3 linked regions of the Caenorhabditis elegans genome follow. The protein of the gene in region 3 purifies or fractionates together with the protein of the main gene of each other region. This does not show direct contact. Each region holds a gene or a part of one and is shown on either strand. Other genes may lie near its edges.

Region 1 (5,141 bases), on a different chromosome or scaffold from region 3:
ACAAAATCTTTTTATGTGCTGGTTAAATAACCAAATATGTCAAACTTTGAAAAATTCTTCGAACTGTGGAAAAAGAGACAATTACTCAGTTATTCGTAAACTTTGTAATTGAGCAAAAAACAAACAAGACTGGCAAACCGGACTGAATCGAACGTCCGGCGTCAAGTTTTGACAAAAATAATCATTCAACTTTTAAATAAAAATTGAGTATGTAGGTTTTTCACGTCGCCCGAAAACTGTGTTTATGAGAAAAAATGTCCGCAATTTTTTCTACTCGACTGATGTGTTCAAACTTCCAACGTTTCACGTTCACGTTTCATTATTTTTTTAAAACCTAATGTTTTGTCAAAAACTTTGTTGGAAATATTTTTACGGATGGCAGAATGTCCTGCATCAAAATTAATATTGTTTTTTTTTTGTCGTCTATCAGTACTGTTAGAAATTATGGAAGTTTAAGTTATCAATTATTAATTTTCATCTGTCCGTAGTTTCAAAATTTTTTAAATAAAAGTTCAATAAAAAGTGCGTCAAAGAATCTTTTTTAAACATTTTGTCGAAAAACTTCGACTTCTAATACAAAACTGATGCCCTCGCGTTTAAGCAATTTTTAACATACAAACCACTCAGATTGAAAATTCCACTTTCGAGAAACCCTGAAAAACTAAAAAAAAAAACGTGGCCCACGATAATATTTGTTCAATTACAATTGAGTCTAACGTATTGAATTTGAATAGTTTATGTCTTTGAAAAATAAGTTTAGACAATGCCCTTATTGTATTCTAGTATTGTATTTTAGACTTGAAAAATCCGCAAGTAAACAGACCAAAGCTTAAAATAAGTGAGATTGGGCAGGCGCCACAAAAAAGTGGTTCCAAGTTAGGGCACAACGGGTGGTTAAAAAATTTGAATTTAACGTCTCTCAAAAAAATTATGGATTTTAGCCAATTACTTGTCGCCACCATTTTCTTGATATTTATGAAAAATGAAAATTTTGAACAAATACGAATAATTGTCCTTTACTGATCTCCAATACGTCGTTCAACAGGATAATCATCCGATTTCATATAAATAAATTAATTATTTTCTTCTTCCGTCTCCCGTTTTGACCTCAACAAAATCGCTTAGAATAGAGATGCACTATCCCAAAATCAATAATGATCTACCTGCTCTCTTCGATTGAATACCATGTAAATAGCAGACATACATTTTAAAAAGGATTAAAGGACGATCCGTTCTTCAAGTGCTATGCACTGCGGATCTGGGATTCAGGTACACTGCCTGGTGGTGATCCCTCTGGGCTGTAATTTAAGCCACGTCCTAGCCGGGGACTGTGGCCGATAATCCAGTCGTGGATTGCTCCACTTCCCAATAGAGGCTGGGTGAACCTAGGGGGTGAGGCCGGACTCGTGACCTCCAGACTGCTAGCGGCCACCACTACCGACTGAGCTATCTGCCCCCGAATAATTTTATTCTTTGAAAAAAAATAGCAGACATACATTTTCCCTAATTCAACCCCTTGCCCTCTTGCCATTCTCCAAACGTGACGAGACCATCTGCCGCGCTGAGACACCGCAGTGTTCCTCGTCGCACGTTTGTCTCGTTTCTTAGACTCTCCACTCTCTTGCGTGTACTCTCGCACATTGTCTCCTTATCCGGTCAGTTTTTTGAATGGTTCGAAGAGCCTCAAATCATTCCTTTATCTCACGTATTTACATGTAGATTTTCTTTATTTTCTCACCGCATTTATTCATAATTTTCAATACTTCTCAGAGCATTCTCGGCGCAACAAATCATTCTTTTTGCTCAGTCCCAAATACCTTTTCTTTTCTTTTTATCTCCTTGTTGCTGCGTCTCCGTATCTCTAACAACATTTTCGATTTCCCTAGCAATGTCGTTACTTTCTCGTAATTTCTCACTTTTCTCGTAATTTCTCACTTTCTTTCTCGCCGGACAAAAAATGTATACGAGTTCTCGCCCTTATTTTGAAAAACATCTAATAGAGACATACGAGAGTGATGAGTATCAGCGATATGTTAAATGGCATAGTCTGTCGCGGACCAGAACAAGCAGAAGTAATGAAAATATCATTTAAATTTAGAGGCATAAAATTCTGAATATTTTTTTAAACAGATAAAAAAATTCTCCAATTTTCAGAAAAATCTACATTTTGATGTTCTTATGAAAGACGATGCAAATTATTATTCAAGCTAATTCCTTCAAATCGTCCGTAAAAACTTACTGATTTTACCATTAGTTACCAAATGCACTGGTTTTTTTAACTCCTCAATTGAGTTGCCAAAATTATGAGCGATAGATGTTACTTTTTTTTTAGCTACTTGCTCCGATTGTTTTTCCTCTTTCTGTATCCTTAAATATACTTTGAAATACTTACCTGTTTCAGTTACAATGACGGATATGGAAAGTCAATTCGAAATTATCCGAACCGAAATCGTAAGTTCATTTTTTGCTTTTTTTCTACAATTACAATCCTATTTTCAGACTCTCGGAAATCTCACGGGATCCCTGCACACATTGCACCAAAACGTGAAGCTACAGATCTTCAGTGACGATCTCTGTCAGGCTTTTGACTCGTTCCTGATTTTCTTCCACAGAAGCGTATCGAGTTATATGGACAAATTAAAGTCACAAACTAACGACGATGACGACGACGTTGCTGATAGACTTTCGGCAGCGGAAGCTCACGTTTCGCTTCATTTGGGCAGATTTGTGGTAGGTCGTTTCACTTTTTAGTTTGTAGAAACTAAATATGGTTCTAAAACTAATTTAAAACGGAGTTAGTTTAGCCACTTTGTCGAGTCGAATGACCAAATATCATAATTTAACAAAACAATTCTGAAAGGCCCAGTTTTGCCACTGTTTTGGAATCGGACAAATTAATATATTTTTCGAATTAAGTTTCAAATATTAATATTTAAAAATGTAAAGATTCCAACATGACTTCTCTATAGTTTTCTCAACAAGTGGTAAAATCTCAGTTATTGCCAGTTTTTAAATCGAAACGCAAATTTTCAAACAATTTTCGGAAATTTTTACTATGATATTTGGCTTATGTTATCATAACTCCTCTGTTAAGAAGAACGAAAGAAATATATTTTGCAGGCCGAGATTCCAACATTCGCCGACGGATGCGATGTGTCTGGATTTTGGCACAGTCTACTGGTCAAATTGATTAATGAGATGTTTGGATTCTCTCACAAGACTTTTGGTATTTTAGAAAACCATTTTGCACAGCTATATCACAGTTTTTTTGCAGATCCAGCAGCAAAAGTCAAAAACAAGAATGCAATCAGTGCACTGTTTGAGGAATTTTTGGCAGCTGAAAAACCAGATAGATCCACTGCGTACGAATATATCTGCGTTATGTACATCAAATACCTTCAACAAATGAATCTGCATGCGGAGTTGGAGTTGTTCGCAGCAGAGGTTTGGAAGAGTTATATGGATGTACCAATATATAAAGTTTTCAGAAAATTGCTCACCCCCACGAGTACCAACAAGAAGGCAGTTCTTATTGGAAAGAAGAATGTCTTGCACTTCTGAAGGCTGCGGATAAGTGCACAAATAACCGTCTGAGAAACAACTTGCTCACAATCGGAAAACGTCTCTTCAACAACACTACTGCCAACATCTCCAAGCAAACTGAGGCGTTCTTTGCTATCCTCACTTACATCGATCTCTGTGACAATCCAGTCACCGCGGAAGTCTGGACCGGTTTGAGAAAAATTTGCAAAAGAGTCATTGAGCATGGAAATGAGGTGTTGTTCTTTGCAAACAACGAGAACTTTGACGAGAACTTGAAGAGTGCTCTGAAAGTTTTTGGTGAGGTTGAGGTAAGATTTTCATATTATGAAAGTTTTGTCTAAATACATTCATCATGATACAAAACGACCACAAAATTTTAGACTTTCTCAAATTTTCTATCAAAGCTTTTAAGGAAATCCAGAGCAAGGTCGCATTTTCCGACCTCTAGAATATTTTGACACTAAAGTGTGAAAATGGTAGAAAAACAGTTGTTTGGGTCGATAAATTTTCAAAATGTTTTACTATAATATCTGATCCTTTTGGCACCGTGGCACAGCTCAACCTTTGAATAAGTTTGGGGGCTCTGAAATATGTCAAAAAATGTACTGGAAAAATTCATATTGATTTTACAGAATCCTATTCGGCAAACAATTTCAATAATTTCAGTTGACACTCAATAGACGAATTGGAATGATCCAAAAATTGGAGAGAAGCGATCCACAAGATGGACATCAAATGGACTCTGCATTTTTCATTGATTATGGATATTATTATGTGATGAGAGCCTCCATTTTCCAGAGCGCTAAATTCATTGTTGGTGAGCAAGAAGGTAAGTCGAAATCAGGCGCTTGTGCACCGTACATCGTATTCAATTTCAGCCAAAGAGCAAACAGCGTTGGACATCAAGCAGGCGTCGGACTATTCTTATCACTATACAAATGTTCAAATCGCTATCAATGACGTTCTTGAATTGATTACTTCAAATTTTGAAAATTTGAGTGAAACAAGCTTGGTTGAAATGGGAATCTATCAGTATCTGGAGTCGGTAAGGAATACTTTAGGGCGGCGATAAGTCCTAAGCCAAAATTCATAAATTTTTCTTGTGTCGGTATTTTCTAAAAGTTTTGACCATCACTAGTATCCTAGCTCGCCATTTTTTGGAGGCTTCTATTTGATCTTGCTTGCTAACAAGTTTTTTCCTAAATTCTTTATTGACAGAAGCTTTTAATTCGGGGCGCTGAAAAGTTGTTAAAATTACCGTAAAATGGAATATGTACGAACTCAACTTTGTACTTAACTTTCAAAAAATTTATTCTATTTTCAGATTATTGACGCATGCTTTGACAATAGAAGAACAAAGGACCAGCAAACTATTTTCGACAAGGCTAACCAGCTTCTGAGCAAAACTAGTGAGATGTTGGGAAAGCACAGTAACTCATCCGAGCCTGTAACAAGTGCAATGGACGCTTCAGGACCCTCTCCTGACGAACATCTTGCAGACGATAACATGGATGACTAGTTGATAGAAAGCCAATGCATTCGTTCGACATCACCATTTGATTCACCAGTTTTCACATTTTTTTGTTATAGATTTCCAA
Region 2 (5,141 bases), on a different chromosome or scaffold from region 3:
CTGCTTTTCACAGTCACCTGTAATATTGTTTGTTTGTGCGATGCACGGGACGAAATATAATACTATAAAACTTTCTTTTTCAATTGAATTCGAAAAATTTCTTTTCGGCGGATAAGATGGTTCTTATTGATATTACGCGACCACAAAATTCTGAGAATGCGTATTGCACAACATATTTGACGCGCAAAATATCTCGTAGCGAAAACTACAGTAATTCTTTAAATGACTACTGTAGCTCTTGTGTCGATTTACGGGCTCGACTTTAAAATAAAAAGGAAAATAGAATATTGTTGTCAATATTCGAAAAAAGCTATAACAAATTTCGAAAATCGAGATCCCGTAAATCGACACAAGCGCTACAGTAACAGAATTAAAGAATTACTGTAGTTTTCGCTACGAGATATTTTGCGCGTCAAATATGTTGCACAATACGCATTCTCAGAAGCCTGTGCTCCCGTAATCAATATTTATATCTGAAACTACCTTTCTATTAAGCAAATTCTTGCGTCTCATTCCGCCTCCCTCGAGTTGAATTCGTCCACGGAGCACAAGCTCGATGAGCACACATCCTCGGAGCCCCGACGAAATGCAATCATTCCAAAACGATGTGTAACCTTCACGGTCTTTAAGGCCGAGCAACAGGATTTGCTCCATCAAAGTCAATCGGGTTCCCTTGTCATTGTCTTCTTGATCCGAAGATTGTGCTGAATCGCCGCTCGCTTCGTCGACTTTTTCGGTGACTGGCTGAAAATTGGATTGATTTTGAATTAGTTAACTGAAATATCATTCTGTGAATTTTGCAGAAAAAAACATCGCCGCACAGAATAAGAGGCGGGGCGTAATTTAGCAACACTGCGGAACAGGGGTGTGCGGCAAATTTGCCGAATTTGCCGAGCACGGCAAATTTCAAAAAAGTAGATTTGCCGAATTTGCCGAGCTCGGCAAATTTCGAAATTTGCCGCACACGTCAAAAATTTGACAGTACAATTTTGACTAAAACTGTTGATTTTTTCGCCAAAAATTTAGTAAAATGATAACAAATTGAGTTATTTTGATGTTTAAGCAGACACACTACACCTAACTTGTTCAGAAACCAGAGGTGTGTTAAGAATTCAGTAGTTTTGGTGCTCCAAAAAATATCAAAAAATATATAATTTTTCCGAGTTTGTTAAGCACGGCAAATTTGCCGAATTTGCCGAGCTCGGCAAATTTTGAGATTTGCCGCACACCCCTGCTGCGGAACGGTTTTTTTCGATTTTGCTTATTCTATTTATTCGGAAAAAATTCTATAATATTTTCATTCGAATTTATTTGTTTGAAAAAATTGAAAAAAAAAGCGTGAAAAATATACGAAAACAGGAAAACCGCGCCGCAGGGTTGCGAAATTAAGCTCCACCTCTTTTTCCGATTAATCGTTTAATTTTAACAGTACACAGAGGAAATTTGAGTTGAAAATTTCAACTTTTCAGTGACTGGCTGGAAATTTTATTGATTTTTAATTAGTTTTTTCTTGAAAACTCTTTTTTGCAAAAACATCGTCGCACAGAAAAAGAGGCGGAGCGTAATTTCGCAACACTGCGGCACGGTTTTTTTTTTAATTTTGTTCGTTTTATCTTACTTTTCCTGAAGAAAAATGTTTTTACAACCAAAAATATCCTCATAGTCTTATGAGAACTAAATTCGATAATATTTTCAATCGAATTTTTTTGTTTGAAAAATTGAAAAAACCGCGCCGCAGGGTTGCGAAATTAAGCTCCGCTTATTTTTCCGTGCGACGCTGTTTCTGCAAAATTCACGGATTAATCGTTTAATTTAAACATTACACAGAGGTAATTTAAGTTGAAAATTTCATCTTTTTCAGTTTTTTTTATCTCTCGTGTTTTTCCATTGAACTCTGTAAAATCATCCTACCTCTTCAGCCTTTCTGCGTCTCTGGACCAGCTGACCGTCCGACATATCCGATTATTACAGTATTAAATTCTATCCAAAAAACACGTCGGCAACTAACTGGGCGAGTCGTTCCTCAACTTCTGAAATGGCAATAATTTCTTCAATTTGACAAAAATTTCGCTCAAAAAATTCGGTTTCACGTTAAAAAGTTGCAAATTTCGGGTAAATTAAATGTTGAATTTCAAAATTCGTTTCCAAATCAAGATTCCATGCATTTTGCTTCTCCCTATTAGCAATTGCCAAAAACATTCAAAATCGGCTAGTGAGAGAAGCATAAGCTGTGTTGTAGATTAAATCTAGAAGAACCAGTCTGAAAGTGGAGCCTCCAGCAGATGAAAAGATCGTTGGCAGTGATAAACTTTTGAGACAAATGAAGATGATGCGCAAAACCGGATGGAGTGGAAGAGGAAGAGGTGTAAATGGGTGTTTTTTGGGAATAAATTATGAGTATCTAGCTTGATATTCGATTTTTAGAAGTTTAAACTGGATTTAATCGAAATTCAATTTTTTTAGTCTCCGGAAAGGCAGCCGCGAAGAGCTTTAATCGTTATTTAAATAAAAATTTCAGTGTTTCAGAAATATTTTTTAACCGATTTATTGCCGATTTAGTAAATTTTCAGCACTAATATTCAAAATTATGGAGGTTTTACAGAAAATAAATTTTTTTTTTAATTGTATGAGTCTAATATCGAAATATAAAAATTTGCTTCATCTGGAAATAGTTTTCATATCAGTTGGAACAATTGAAAAAAAGCTCAAAAATTGCATGAACGTTGAAAAATGCCGGAAAAATAGGCAATTTTCAACTTTCAGAAAGTTTTTCCAAAGGTTTCAAGTAAAATGAACGCATTTTATCGGATATTTCCCTTTAAATTTAGTGATAAAATGTAGAAAAACATTTTATTTGTCTGGAAATAGCCTTTTATTTTGCTCGAAACATTTGGAAAATTTGGAAAATTTTTTGGGAAATTGTGAAATTTTTTTATGAAAGGCTATTTCCAGATAAATAAAATGTTTTTCTACATTGTATCACAAAACTTAAAGGAAAATATCCGATGAAATGCGTTCATTTTACGCGAAAAATTTGGAAAAACTTTCAAAAATTGTCTGAAAGTTGAAAATTGCCGAAATTTGTTTCTAGCAGTCTCCAACTTTCAGGCATTTTTCGAACGTTTTTCCTAATGTTTCAAGCCAAATAAAAACAATTTTCAGACAATAAATTTTAAGAAAAAATCTAAGGAAAGGTGTATTTTACAGAATTACTGGTCGGCAAACTCCAACTAATACAACAATTTCGGAAGGGAAATTATAAAACAGTTGTTATCGCCTAAAAACGAAATATTACATCACAAGCGAGCAAGCTTTTCCATGTGAGCAGGGAAAGAGCCATTGTTTGGTCAGCTTTTTTCTGGGGCTGCTCTCCAAAGCTTTAACTGCCACCAACATTTCCACAAAAAAAAACAGCCAAAATTATATTAATACTGGAGAACTGGGTACTTAAAAAAAGGTTTGTACAGTTTATAGATGCTTATCAGAGGGCGTTGCTGTGAAGCTTTATCATGGAAAATGGAAGAAGGAAGAGCAGGGGTGATAATTGATTGGAACTCGAGAGATTACTCGGAAAAGCTCGAAAATTTAATTTCTTGTAGATTCAAAAAACATCAAATCATTGGAATAAATGTAATGAATCGACAGCGACGCACGGGCGAAAGCTAGTATCGGGAGAAGAGCGTTTCGATTGAAAATACCAGGAGAGGCGAGAAGTGTGGAGAGACGCGAGAGAAGAAACGTGGCGTTGGGGACAGAGAGAGTGAAGAGACCACAGAGACACAGAAGGGACGAGCCGGATGATGGAGACCGCCGGAGGAGAGAGAAGGATGGTGACGAAGCGGACGGACGGACGACGGCGACATACTTTGCCGTGAATTTTCTGTGCGCATAAAGAAGTGAACGTTCTGAGTGAAATAATAGAATAATGTGATTTTGGCTTCTAGTTATCTCGTTATTCAAAGGTGAAGTAGCCGGAATATTTTTAAAAAGATTCAAAAAATCTGAAATAGTCTCAAATTTAGCAAAACTTTAAAAGAAAAACGAAAAGAATGAAAAATCCAACTTCTAAAGGGGGAGTAGAGTTTGTGAGTATTTTGTTTAAATAGACTAAAACTGGTCTAAAATTACCGAATTTCATAATGAGACTTCACAAAAAATTTTCAAACAACTTTTATGGCGGGTCAAAATTTCGAAAAAAAAAAGAGTCAAATTTTGCTAAAATCTGAAATTTCGCTGGCTTTTCTTTGTCACAGCCGCTGGACTTTAGTTTTTTCTGAAATTATCATCCTTTAATCCTTATTTTGGTAGATTATCTCGCGGAAATTGGTTGATTGAGACAATTTTTAGACCTATAGGCATCCAAAAATGATAAAAATTGGATGCCTATCGGCCTAAAAGTTGTCTCAATCAACGAATTTCCGCGAGATAAATTACCAAAAGAAGGATTAAAGGATGATAATTTCAGAAAAACTAAAATCCAGCGGCTGTGACAAAGAAAAATGTGCGAAATTTCAGATTTTAGCAAAATTTGGCTCTTTTTTTTCGAAATTTTGACCGGCCATAAAAAATTTTTGGAAATTTTTTGTGAAGTCTCATTAAGGATTTCGGTGGTTTTGGACCAGTTTTAGTCTATTTAACCAAAATACCCACAAACTCTAAGTTATTTTACAATTCGCCCACTTTTGGACCAATCAGAGCAGCTCGAAGGCGCTGATTGTTCAGGGCGTTCTCATTTTGGAGGCTTTTTTTTGGACTTTTCACTTTTTTTGCAATTTTTTCTGTGGATTCCGGCTTACTATATATATTTTTTTCATAAAATCCATAAAGTTATTGTGTTGCGAGTCACAATATTAAATGTATGACGTTTCGTTATTCTTATCTAAAAAGGCAAACATCTCGGTCTCACAGTACTTATATTTGAAAATTTTGATTTTTAGGCTTTTTTCTTTGATAGGAAAGAAAAAGGGGGACTTGTTGTAGGTAGAACAACATACCTGCAGGGTTTCGAAAGAAAAAATATGGCGAAAAATCCTCGATTTTTATTATTAAAAAATTTTTTCCAACTTCTCAATGATGCTTGAAAAACTGTGCAAAGCACTTCAAAGTCGGCATTTTCAAACAAAATTTCTTATTTTCACGCA
Region 3 (5,141 bases):
AATAAAACGTTTCCATAAACCGAGTTGTTCTTCGATTCTTCCAAAGTATCCAGGATGCCCTTTCTCTCTCAATCTCTCACTATCTTTTCTAAATTTCACACATTACGATGTTCATCTCCAGATGATCAACCGGTTCTTCCCTAATGTTTATTATTCTGTCGTCATTCCCATCATACTATTATCCACGTCATACAGTGCCAAAATAGCTCCAAAATGTCGTGATACTGATATGAACTGTGCTGTTTGGGTATGTGATTATTGATCAGATATGTAGAAATTGGAAAGAATTTTCAGGTTGCCACGAATACTTCAGATTGCGAAAATGTGGAGCTAGTCAATTCACATTGTCCGAGAACTTGTCAAACTTGTGGAGAACCAATAGACCCCAGTAAGTCGTTTGCGACGTTGCCTGAAAAAGCTCGTAGCTACATCCAACTGGCATGTGTGACGTCACATGGATTGATACAAACACTGTTCCAATATTCATTGCGAAACTCTACATTTGGAACTCAAAGAATTTAGAAAAATACGATAAATATTTAGAGTACGACGTAAAACTCCTCCCTGCTAAACTGAAATCAATCGCTTGGATGGTTGGAAGATGGAGGTCAGAATTTGGAGGAAAAGCATTTTTCCCAACTATTCCAAAGTTTACGTATGGAGAACAAGTGGATATCACCATTGCCGATAATTCACAAGATACACATACGCCATTACTGAATTATACGTGAGTATTTTATGACATTTTTAAATCGATTAAAATTGTGCGTAAAATATAATGAATTTGATTAGAACGGAATGCATCTCAATTGACGCGCAAAATGAGTTTCACAGACTGCAAAGTCCAGTATAAGACTACTTTTATTCCTATAACTCAATCCTGCCAGAAAATGCTTAGAATTCATGAGCTCTCGCGGAAAACAAGGTATCAAATTTCAGCGCGTTCGCCTGGGATATCAATATGCCAGACGGTGATCCAACTGAAATTCATTCTGAGAACGGATATATTGCTGTTGAATATGATAAAGAGCAAGAGAAGGAATATGTCTCACTGAATACTGCAATGAGTAATGGTAGGAAGTGTGATATAATCTTGAAACAATGCCACGTTGTATTAAATTACAGGATTCATGACAATCGAGGAAGGAGAATCTGGACCGAATCAAGTGAAGTTTAGGCTGCAAAGAATTGGGAGAATCAGTTTTTCGCACGACTCTGCTGTTCGAATTGTGAGTCGAGAAAAAAAAGAAGAAAAAGAGAAAACTCGGTCACGTGTCCAAAATCAAACGATGTTGTAGATCAGTAATTTTAATATATTTTCAGATGTTCCGTGAATGGACTCTTCTCGATGAAAATCGTTTAGAAGCCCGTCTTCTAATGACCACAACAATTACAAGACGACTCATGGAGCACACGGCAGTTATTTATAAAAAGATTTATCCGTGAAAATAACGTGTGTATTATTGTTCTAAATTGAAAACATTTCCGGGTTGAAATAAAAAATATATAAAAAGTACTTAAATATACGGTGCCAAATATTTTCCCCTACACTCCTGATGTTCATAATTGACCAGAAAGAGTTCAAGATTATGAAATGAAAGAAGTACATATCGAGAATCATTAAAAATTAGTGAAAGTCCTGCCATGAGATGCTTAATTGTTTGAGAAGTTGGTGGAGCAAGGCGAATTTCAATTTGACATACAATTTGCCCGTTTTCATCCAATTTGCCCATTCTCGAGATTTCATGGAATATTTTATAATTGTTTACTTCTTCTTTAATTGAGATCTGAAAATTATAGTTTAAAATGAGTGGAAGACAGGCATGAAGATGTATCCGTTCACAGTTTTTTACAGTACTTACCAAATCGATAACCTTATGATTCACTTGAGTTTTGAGATACGTTGAAAAGTGTCCAATACCCGCCGACTCGGATTGATTCAAGTAGTTTGCCAAGGAACCATAATCCCAATAAATATTTGATGAGTTCAGGTGGGTCCCGTAGGTTTTTAAGTCCGTTGGAAGTTCATCTGTCATATTTTTCCGAGTTCTAGAATCCGTATAATTTCCAATTGTGACGAATACAAACGGCTCCTTAACTCAGATATATTATCCTTTTTTTTCTTTTCGAAAACTAAATTCTGACCTTCTTAGTGGCAATGAACATATCATAACTTCGGATACCAGTTTGATATTCCACATTTGTCTCTAATTTCATAATTGGCACATTCAAAAATATTGATGCATTTTTACATCTCTCTGTTGCAAATCTCACATAGTACCAACTCTGGAAAAATAATTTTATTTGAAAAATTGGGTCGGGCATTGTTTTCGTTATTCATTATTAAGTTTGAAATAAAACCCCAATGACGTTTCCCTACTTTTGAACTTCTATGTCTCATAAATTATTAAATTTACCTCTCGATCAACATACAAATCTTTTTCCATACACTTAACCCATTTGTCAACTTCAGTTTGAAATTTACTCTTTGTCGAATCGCCTCCACGTGGATGTTCTAGGTACCGGTCAAAATATTGTTGTTCAAACCGTTTTTGACGTGCTATATAAACTAGCAGTAGAAGAATAAGAGCAAACAGTAGTTTTATATTACGAGGATGTGGGCTCATGGAGAATTTTATATTTATTTTACAAAAAACAGAGATAGTGGTGTTTTCTATTGTGATCAGTATTGACAAGAGTCTGATTTGAATATAAATGGGAAAAGGATGATGTGGAAAAAATCAAAAAGAAAATTGGAAAAAAAATGAAATAAACTATTCAAAAAACCTAGAAAAATACTTATCAACACAAAATGGATGTTCCATATTAATCACATAAAATCGATGATGTACTGTAGCATAAGCAACCATAAATGCATATCTCCCATCTTCAATGATCGTATTCATTATGCTTAAAAATTTTGCTTTCCGTTCATCGTCAGCTTGATGAACCTCTGTGTTCATTTGACACACTACTATCCCATTTTGATCGAATTCTGCTCCGCGAGCCATCATCGGAAGGATATCGTATTCGGGTCCCTCATTGTCCATCAAAAATTGATCTATCGTGGATTCCTTTACGAATTTTTTGAAGAAAGTGATGATGTCAATGTGGGGCATCACTTGATTTATATATTTCCCTGAGATTCAATCACTAATTTTTTTTTGTAAAAATTTTTTACAAAAAAAATTAGTAGCTTTGGTCAATATTTAGTCAGCTTTCATAGTGGTAGAAAAAATGATTCTTCGAACATGTCACATGTGCTCGAAATATGTTGCATTTGGTGGGCAAACCTACATGCCTGCTTATCGTCTATGGTTCATATTTCTCAGTGAGCTTACCTTCAAAGTGAGAAAAAACAAATAGTCAAGGTCTGATTATATTTTAATTGGTAGAAATATATTGATAAAAAATCCATTTCACCTTTGAGTCAAGTCCTGAACCTGCCCAAAATTTACATTTAAAACGTGAGCCTCTAGAAACATTAGGCTGCTGAATCTATAAATATTTGAAGAAAACTAACGGTTCTTAAGCACCAACGCTGTCGAGACATCAGTTTCTTTTCCCACAGCAAATGGGAAATACGACCCAACAGGTTCGTAAAGTTCTCCGTTTCCAGTGTATATTGGATCGGCGGCATAGAATCGGGAATTCGTCGGAAGTGTTTCCTTGAGTGTTGTTTCTGCTTTCACATCCAAACCAATGCCAAGAGTTACTACTACACTTGGTTCCTGGCAAATTTTGAATTAAATTGGTTTTTTTGTGGTGGAATTGAGAAACCTGAGATGGACTGTACACATGATATTTCATCTCATCTTTGTTCTTTACACCAGTCAATTCGATTTTCGAAAATGCAGTTTCATTTCTACATTGATTAATCACACGTTTCACCCAGTACCACATCTGAAATTATGACGTCATATCAGGATCATCGTTCAATTTAAACCTCTTTTGGATCGGTTCTGCTCCTTTTCAGTTTCTCCTGAAAGCACTGTTTCCATTCGTCGGCTGCTTCCAAGAAGCGCCTGTTTTTGGTGATTGGAAGCGAAGTTTCACGACTATATGAACTCAATTGGTGTACCTGAACATCAGTTTGTAAAGATTCAATGGTAGGAAGAACAAATTTTGAGTAGCTACTAACCACAGATGTATTTACCGTACCCCACCCTAGTGCCAAATAACACTTTTGCAACATGGCCGTGAAAACAAAAAATTTGGTAGCTTCGGCAAATATAAAAACTACATGACTTTTGCATCCGGAAAATTAAAGGAAGCTCTTTTTGATAAAATTTCAAGGAAGTTTCAAAAAGATCACTGGTACAAACTAAAAACTTGTCGTTGCCTGGGGTGTTTTTCTCAAATGAAAAAATATCCAAAACTCACTTTATAATCTGGATAGAACAACATGAAAAGAACAGTGAAGCACAAAAATAGGATTATGAACATTTTGAAGTTGTGCATCCACCGTGAAGCCATATAGGACGGTTCTGAACAAATTTTCGTAGAATATAAAAAGCGTGTCTAAAAACCGTTTTTATGACTTTCTGGTACATTTCGGAAATATAAAACTGTTCTCCGAACTTATGCAAGTGTTTCGAATATTAGTACGGTTAAAGTTTCACCAGTAGTTGCATTTCCCTTTGATGACCAAAAAGAAGCAAAAACTCTAAAATCCTTGACTACTCTTGCCTACTTGTTTAAATTTTAAATGAGAAATCCGAACAATGAGAGTATAGGTAAATTATTATTTTAATATAAAATTTATAAAAATAGTTTTTCATAATTTAATAGCTAAACAATTACAAATGCGCAATTAAGAGAGTTTTTTGAAGTTTTGTGGACCACCCCACCACTGCTCAGTCTTCAGAAATAGGAAATAACTTACCATTTGTAATAACTCGAATCATAATTCTTGTCGTTTGAAAGCTTCCAAGTTAAAAAGATTTATTCCTCGAATGACTAGACTTTTTAACTACACTTGCCTTTTTGTGTCCTTTCGAATTAATTCCAACATCAATCTGTACAAACATTTCAGTTTTTCAGCATCCTGCAAACACAAGTGCCTCCCCCGTTTTTGTAAATCTTTTGATCTAATTTTTAGTTAGTTTAATTACGGTACAAAGTTCGCCGATTTAGAATTG

What was found.
Region 1: the proteins of C28H8.7 (region 3) and F47G3.3 fractionate together in Caenorhabditis elegans (co-fractionation; one large-scale study listed by BioGRID). This does not show direct contact.
Region 2: the proteins of C28H8.7 (region 3) and Y47G6A.18 fractionate together in Caenorhabditis elegans (co-fractionation; one large-scale study listed by BioGRID). This does not show direct contact.

What each region holds. Positions count from the first base shown.
Region 1 is NC_003284.9:2,373,591-2,378,731, forward strand, and holds the start of F47G3.3 (KIF-binding protein), read left to right. Parts: upstream 1-2,394; 5' UTR 2,395-2,406; coding exon 2,407-2,451; intron 2,452-2,499; coding exon 2,500-2,730; intron 2,731-3,120; coding exon 3,121-3,226; intron 3,227-3,274; coding exon 3,275-3,444; intron 3,445-3,488; coding exon 3,489-3,851; intron 3,852-4,209; coding exon 4,210-4,372; intron 4,373-4,421; coding exon 4,422-4,588; intron 4,589-4,867; coding exon 4,868-5,062; 3' UTR 5,063-5,141.
Region 2 is NC_003279.8:3,510,704-3,515,844, forward strand, and holds the start of Y47G6A.18 (Golgi phosphoprotein 3 homolog sauron), read right to left. Parts: upstream 2,031-5,141; 5' UTR 1,957-2,030; coding exon 1,912-1,956; intron 745-1,911; coding exon 484-744; intron 18-483; coding exon 1-17.
Region 3 is NC_003281.10:5,884,330-5,889,470, forward strand, and holds C28H8.7 (uncharacterized protein), read right to left. Parts: upstream 2,665-5,141; 5' UTR 2,628-2,664; coding exon 2,418-2,627; intron 2,287-2,417; coding exon 2,146-2,286; intron 2,094-2,145; coding exon 1,863-2,093; intron 1,788-1,862; coding exon 1,518-1,787; 3' UTR 1,447-1,517; downstream 1-1,446. Other genes in the region: C28H8.5 (ShKT domain-containing protein), read left to right, coding at 1-247, 295-388, 544-727, 940-1,073, 1,126-1,229, 1,324-1,446; C28H8.8 (uncharacterized protein), read right to left, coding at 2,775-3,139, 3,524-3,731, 3,781-3,903, 3,947-4,081, 4,384-4,446.